2 linked regions of the Nothobranchius furzeri genome follow. The protein of the gene in region 1 purifies or fractionates together with the protein of each later gene. This does not show direct contact. Links are inferred from orthologs where the notes say so. Each region holds a gene or a part of one and is shown on either strand. Other genes may lie near its edges.

Region 1 (3,500 bases):
CGGTCGTAGGGGGCGCCAGCTGCTCTAGAGGGCATCTGCGGTCGTAGGGGGCGCCAGCTGCTCTAGAGGGCATCTGCTGTCGTAGGGGGCGCCAGCTGCTCTAGAGGGCATCTGCTGTCGTAGAGGGCTCCAGCTGCTCTAGAGGGTATCTGCGGTCATAGGGGGCGCCAGCTGCTCTAGAGAGCATCTGCGGTCGTAGGGGGCGCCAGCTGCTCTAGAGGGCATCTGCTGTCGTAGAGGGCGCCAGCTGCTCTAGAGGGCATCTGCTGTTGTAGAGGGCGCCAGCTGCTCTAGAGGGTATCTGCGGTCATAGGGGGTGCCAGCTGCTCTAGAGGGCATCTGGCATCTGCTGTCATAGAGGGCGCCAGCTGCTCTAGAGGGTATCTGCGGTCATAGGGGGTGCCAGCTGCTCTAGAGGGCATCTGCTGTCGTAGAGGGCTCCAGCTGCTCTAGAGGGCAACTGCTGTCGTAGAGGGCGCCTGCTACTCTAGAGGGCAACTGCTGTCATAGGCGGCACCAGCTGCTCTAGAGGGCAACTGCTGTCGTAGGAGGCGCCAGCTGCTGGTTCACGTTGACTATGGTTACTCCTCGTGTCATAGCTGTCAGATCTAAGTGATTTCCACTCTTTTTAGGGATGACATTGCAGACTTGGAAGATGCTAAAAAGCTCCTGAAGGAAGCTGTCGTGCTGCCCATGTGGATGCCAGCTTTCTTCAAAGGCATCCGGAGACCTTGGAAGGTGCTGCCTTTCGCTGCAGAAGTGTTTTATCAGATCTGAGTTTACATGGGTGTTCTTCTCTTCCTCAGGGGGTGCTGATGGTGGGACCTCCAGGGACCGGAAAAACCCTTTTGGCAAAAGCAGTTGCTACTGAATGCAGAACCACGTTTTTCAATGTCTCGTCCTCCACTCTTACCTCCAAGTACCGAGGAGAATCGGAAAAACTTGTACGTCTCCTGTTTGAGATGGTGAGCTGGACTACTTTGTGTGTGTGTGTGTGTGTGTGTGTGTGTGTTTGTGTGTGTGTTTGTGTGTGTGTGTGTGTGTGTGTGTGTGTGTGTGTGTGTGTGTGTGTGTGTGTGTGTGTGTGTGTGTGTGTGTGTGTGTGTGTGTGTGTGTGTGTGTGTGTGTGTGTTTGTGTGTGTGTGTGTGTGTGTGTGTGTGTGTGTTTGTGTGTGTGTTTGTGTGTGTGTGTGTGTGTGTGTGTGTGTGAGGGAGGGAGAGGGCGACCGACCCACCCACCCACGTCTTGCCCATGTATGTCTGATCTCTGAATTGTGTGTACTGAAACTCTAATTTCCCTCTGGGATTAATAAAGTATCTTTGAATTGAATTGAGTTATTAGACAGAGATGGACGTAGACGGTTAATATTTCGCAAGTGGTAGTAAGCTGATGGAGTGACAGAACTGATATGGGAAAGGTAGGTCAGGGTGCTGTCTGGAATAATACAAAGGCTCTTACCCTGATCTAGATGTGACAGTAGTGTTTCTGTTGCCACTGAGAGCTATGTGGCCTCCCCGCTTCAGTTTTGTCAGAGTTCAGCTTCAGGAAGTTGGAAGAAAGCCAGGTCCTAATGTCTGCAAGGCATTTGGTGAGTGACGATGGTGGAAGCATTGTGGATGATGCAGTTGAACTATAAACTCCTACAAACTCAGCACGGATTTTAACACTAACTCACCTATCGGACCAGGGCCTTACCATCCATCACTTAGAGAGATCTGTGGTGGATATAAAAAATGATCCTATCTGAAGGTGGAGGCAAAAAAAAAGATGTTTAGGCACCGCCAGACCGTGTGGCACCTCTGATCTCCCACCGCTCGCCGTTAGGATCTCAGCAGTACTCAGACCGGCAAGCGTGCGTGGAGTAGGGGGGGTCTTGTTCTGTGTGAACACGAAGCGGTACAAGTGATAATGCTGCTGGAATTCATAATGGTATCCTCCTCAGCAGCAGCGCTGCAGGTGCTCTCCATGTCCAACATGTGCGTAAGCCAGGTCCTTAGTCAACTTAAAGTTGCGCACATTTTTCCGCTAAGTTTTCTTTCATGAATCCCAAAGTTTGCGTGGAAAACTTTTTGTGCGTTTTGTGCGTAAGCAAGCTTGATAAATGAGGGCCCTGGTTTTTAAGTGTCTTAATGGGCTTGGACCTTCTTATCTTGCAGAACTGCTTTTACTGTATGAATCCTCTCGGCCTCTTTGCTCCTCTGGCAGTCGCCTCCTTGTTAACCCAAAGGTTAGGACACATACCCACAACGAGGCGTCTTTTGAGTTTTATGGCCCTCGTCTCTGGAACAGGCTGAAGACCCACCTTTGGGTCGGGTCGCGGGGGCAGCAGCCTAAGCAGGGAGGCCCAGACTTCCCTCTCCCCAGCCATTTGGACCAGCTCTTCCGGGGGAATCCTAAGGCTGGGGAGAGGGAAGTCTGGGCCTCTCGTCTTAGGCTGCTGCCCCCGCGACCCGACTCCGGATAAGCAGATGAAAATGGATGGATGGACTTTTTCAACCAAGTATCGCAGCGTCTCCTCTTGTTCAGGAGTTGTGGACTGCGTCATCCCCTTGGTGAAGCAGGAATAAGAGCTCGGATCAAATGAGGCTTGGATGGCCGAGTCGGCACACTGACCCACAGTCACAGGGTCTACAGGACTCACAACGTTACACAACTGTTGAGGGTCTGCCTTCATGAGAAAATTACTATGCAGTAATTTCTCCAAAAGTCTGTGCCAAAACCGCCCTGAAGCGTACATAAAAAGGCATATTAAAATCAGTGCCAGCAACAACTTCATTTCCCATGATTCCCTGAGCCGGAAGCAACTTGATGACGTCACCAAAGCGACGCCGAACCCCGGAACCTCCACACGTCCCGCCCGCTGGTTGGAGAATCTAAAGCCCAGCATAGAACGAAACTTAACCCTCTTTTGTCCCAGTCTCAGCCGATGTGAAGAGACTTCTGCTACGGCTCCGGACGCACGTCAAGAGGCCGAGCTGCTGAAAAGCAGCGGAAAACCATCAAATCTGCTCAGCGCGAACGACGAGGGACGCCTTGGTTTGCTCAGAGAAGAGTTTTTTTTCCCTTTTTCTCCTCTATCTCCTTTTTCTCCCGTTACTCTTAATAGTCCGAACAAGCGATCAAACTGCGCGATTGCTTCAAATTAACAGACGGCTCTTTCTCTCCTCCGTACCAAAACATGCCATCGGATCATCTTAAGAGTAAGCCGTTTTGTTTTTGTCATTGTTTAATATCTTAAGTTATATGCTGTGGCCAGGCTGACAAACTATTAGATGTTTCATTTGTGATTGATCTTTGGTTTTTCCTTGAGCTTTGTGAAGCGGGTTTAAGGTTTTGAAGTGTTTTGGTTAAGTTTTACTGTGATTGAACGTGCTTTGGAAGTTAAAGTGAAAGTTGCTCACGTACACACACACACACACACACACACATTCTGGTTTTCAGTGTTTGGGAGGACACACGCGTCCCACATACATTTTGGGTCCTTGCTCCCTCAAACAAA
Region 2 (3,986 bases), about 15 Mb from region 1:
AAAGCTGAAATAGCAGGAAATAATACAGTTAAAGAGCAGATTGTAGAAGAAAGTAGTCGAGTGTGGAAAGTGGTCAGTGTGTCCTCCAGCAGTCTAAGCCTATAGCAGCATAACTACAGAGATAACTCTGGATAACCTAGCCTTTTAGATGGAGGCATGTTGGAGGCAGGGCAAGGGAGAGCCGTCTTTACCGACTGTACACTACACCTCCCTCTACTCCCCCACTTGTCCAGATCTAGGTTAACATCAGATTTTACCCATAGGCCCTATCAAATAAAAATGTTTTAAGCCTAGTCTTAAAAGTAGACAAGGTGTCTGCCTCACAGACTAAAGCTGGGAGCTGGTTCCACAGGAGAGGAGCCTGATAACTAAAAGATCTGCTCCACCTGAATCCGAGGTTCGACAATCCGCCGTACCCTCCTCTCCAGAACCCCAAAATAGATTTTACCAAGGAGGCCCAGGAGTGTGATCTCCCTGTAGTTGGAACACATCTTGCGGTCCCCCTTTTTAACCACCCCAGTCTGCTAATCTAGTGAAACTGCCCCCATGTTCACGCGATATTGCAGAGCCTCGTCAGCCAACACAGCCCTACGACATCCAGAATCTTAAGGAACTCCGGGCAGGTCTCATCCACCCCTGAAGCTTTGTCACCCAAAGTCCCCGGACCATTCTTCCTCACTAGAAGACGTGCTGGTGGAATTGAGGGGGTCTTTTATCTCATCTGTAAAGTTTATAGACAAAAGACAAGATTTAGGAATGCATAATAAGATGAATGAATTCAGTCTTCTTGAAAAAACTCTCGTTTGTAGTGTTATGTTTTGTTTTCAGTGTTTTGTTTTTTCCCTGTTTAATTCTACATTTTTAAATTGAACTCTTCTTGTTTTGCTCCTATTTGGATTAAAAAGGAGTCTGTTTTAGTACATTTTAAAGCAGAATTTTTTTCTGAAAGTATAAACCATATTAGTTGTATATTTGTCCATTTAAAAAAAAGTTTATGACGGGGGACATATTTAGATGCAACACCCTACCTGTTCTTAATCGAGCTGCATTATGGGCTACTCCACGCTAGATGGCGCCAGAGTGGAGACTTCTTTAGTGACTGCTGCTGTGTAAACGTCCGACAGTCGCCGCTAAAACTACAGAAACTGTGGCGTTTCTTTGCCAAAATATATCCCACAATCCCTCCTCACCGGGTGGTGTATTCATTTGAATGGTAAAACAGACTTGCTAACACGGACGGGAGGTGAACTTTCAGTTTTACCTGGTTTTCTGCTTTCGGATTTACACACCCGAGGGGACCTGTTGGATTTAACAAAATGAACCGGTTGGTATTTAAATCTACCATGTAAATGGAGAAATATACGCTTTTCTTAATTACCTAGCATGAAGTTGTAAATTGCCTGAGGTGGAATGCTAACCCTTTTAGCGCGGCCCAGCTAGTTACTTTCCACGTCTCGGTGTTTTCTTCATAATTAAGCTAAATGCTATTAGTCGAAGCTAAAAATACCGTCATTGTTGACGCATGAAGCAGCTTTATAGCTGAGAAATGCAGTGTTTCCATTTTCCTAACTTGATTGTTTCATGTTTAGCGAAGAAAAAAGTAGCTTTTAACTTTTGCTGCAGTATATTGAGCTTAAAGCGGCCAATGCCTCAGAGTTTATTCCAAGTTAAGCGTCTGTTTATCGATCTGGATCACTCTGCACCGTAGCTCGGAGGCTAGCTAAAAGTTAGCCAACATGTTAAGTTAGCGTTGGAAACAGCAGTTTTATTATCAATGATTGTCCTAATTTTCTGTCCCAACAGCGTCCCTTATTATGGCATTTGGTAAGCATGTTTGCCGACAGAAAGCCTTTAATGTCAGCAACCATAAATCCAATGGCTTTCAGCGAACCTGTCTGCACGTTTCTACTGAAAAGATCATGAAGCAGGTATGAAGCCACAGAACCAACAGCTTTGTTGTATTAAATGCAGTACTTGTTTGGTTTAGTCCTGGTGACAGTGAAGTGCCGTTCAGTGGTGTTGTAGTAGAGACTGTGGGAGTGGCCTCATCCCCTATCCTTTTGTTTTAGGTGGAAATTAAAAATAAGGAAGAATTAGATAAGAACAGGTGAGTCTCTAATCCACATGTGGGGTTCATCCAAATGTGATCATTCACTCATTCTGCCACAGATCACCCCTTCCAGCCACGGGAACCTTCAGACATCTTTCCATGACCATATATCACAACGTCTGTGACCCTAAACGTTGTTTTTAAACTTTCACGGCCTGCGCTAATCTCCATGTCTCTTTTGGCAGATTTCCGGTGCATTTCAGAAAGCAGAGTCCAGGCAAAGTGAAGCGGTTGTCGTTTTGCAAGAGGAAGAGTTGTTCGTCAGTGGAGGTGGGCACAAAGCTTCACTGCAGGTTGTCAGATGTAGGCCGTCCCCGTGACCCCGGCATGGCCAACAAAGAAAATGAGCTGTCGTGCTCCGATGATGTGCGGAGCATTCGCTGCTATGATAACCACGGGCTGCTGGTGAACTCTGCAGAGGCTTCCAAGATGGCAGGGGCCAGCTCTAAGTACAGCGACTTCACTGAGGTGAGAAACTGATCTGAAGCTGAGTGTTAGTTGGAAAAACACCACCCTGTTTGAGCCGTCGTTGGTTGTTTGTTTCTGAGTAGTTATCGAAGGAACACGAAGCTATGTCTCGCATCCTTTTTGGAAGAGATCTTCGACTTAAAGTTGCACTAACATTATGGCGAAGAAATGCCAGTGAATTGGTGTCCTATCTAATAAGGTAAAAGCACCACTCACATTTGGTGTTTAGTGTTTATTTGTCAGTTACATGTTATTGTTTTTGCTTCCCAGAATACAAGACACAAGCGTTCTGCTCGACTGCTTACCGGTCTTAACAAACAAGTAAGTCACATTTGGCTTTTACCTCATGGTTGTTCATTCTAAAGTTTTAAGTTTAATATTTACTATGCCTCTGAAAGGTGGGCGATTCACGTGTCTGCTTTCCATCGCATGTGGTTTTTTTTCTGTTTCATCAGCCTTCAAACTGAAACGCCGTGTTTGTCACTTGGCTGCTGTGTTGACCTCATGCCTCACGTCAAAGTGGTTCTCTCCAGTAAACATGAAGAGTAAGTATATTATTCTGACACCTTAGCTTGTTTGAGCTAGCTTGTGCCGTCAGAAACATTCAAACCGTTTTTAAAAGAGAAGTTGAGCTTTTAAGTCAACTAAAGTGCGCAACTCCGCACTCGCGCTGATGAAGCGTAAACCAAGCTTTAGAAACCAGCCTGAACCTGCTGATGTGGGAGGAGTCTCTCTCTCCCCTACTCAACTACATTCTCTCTCTCTCTGTCCCGGGCTCACCTACGGTGCCATTATTATCGGCTCTAGCAGCGCTGTGTGTGGGAACATAAAACCGGGAAATCAACCTGAACATGCAGCTTTGGCAGCTGTGGAGTTGGGCTCAGCTCTGGACGGTACACCCCACCCCCCTCCCCCGCGCTGGCTTTTGCTGCCGCCATAACACGGGGAAAACCCCGGATGTAAAAAATAGTTGCACTACTGATCCTGGATCAGTCAAAAACCGCAGTTTTGACGCTCACGTGATCGTGCTGTTTGAAATCGCAATTTCGGTCCAAAAACGATAGATCGTTCAGCCCTAATTTCGGTCCACCAGTAAAACGCTTTCTGCGTATACTCCTCAATAAAACGTTCATATTTAAGAGTTTTTCCGTGAAGTAATCTTCAAGTTGCTCTGTGTGCTGCTAGATATCTTCAGCTCTCTTTGTGTTTTGGGCCCATTGGCTGTGCTGTTGTCAAAAGCAGCATCCTGACCAATCACAAGCTTACGTTCTCTGTCTTGTTCAACGGGTGTTTAGAAAAGTGTGTTTGACTCCGTCCGTCCGTGCGAGGGCTCTCCAGCAGGCTTGCAATGGCGTTGAGTGGGCTTTAAGGTTGCATTTGTGACTGAATGTCATATAATCAGGATATC

The links. Proteins that work in one complex are often made in the same cells at the same time.
Region 2: the proteins of katna1 (region 1) and katnbl1 purify together in Homo sapiens (affinity purification with mass spectrometry; 3 studies listed by BioGRID and IntAct, counting the BioPlex papers as one, with this or other methods). This does not show direct contact. The link is inferred for Nothobranchius furzeri from reciprocal best matches to the Homo sapiens genes KATNA1 and KATNBL1.

The regions. Positions count from the first base shown.
Region 1 is NC_091742.1:28,014,765-28,018,264, reverse strand, and holds part of katna1 (katanin p60 ATPase-containing subunit A1), read left to right. Parts: intron 1-632; coding exon 633-738; intron 739-806; coding exon 807-965; intron 966-3,500. UniProt on the Homo sapiens protein: Catalytic subunit of a complex which severs microtubules in an ATP-dependent manner. Microtubule severing may promote rapid reorganization of cellular microtubule arrays and the release of microtubules from the centrosome following nucleation.
Region 2 is NC_091742.1:12,533,161-12,537,146, reverse strand, and holds the start of katnbl1 (KATNB1-like protein 1), read left to right. Parts: upstream 1-1,186; 5' UTR 1,187-1,324; intron 1,325-1,803; 5' UTR 1,804-1,814; coding exon 1,815-1,928; intron 1,929-2,069; coding exon 2,070-2,107; intron 2,108-2,295; coding exon 2,296-2,578; intron 2,579-2,661; coding exon 2,662-2,777; intron 2,778-2,848; coding exon 2,849-2,899; intron 2,900-3,033; coding exon 3,034-3,123; intron 3,124-3,986.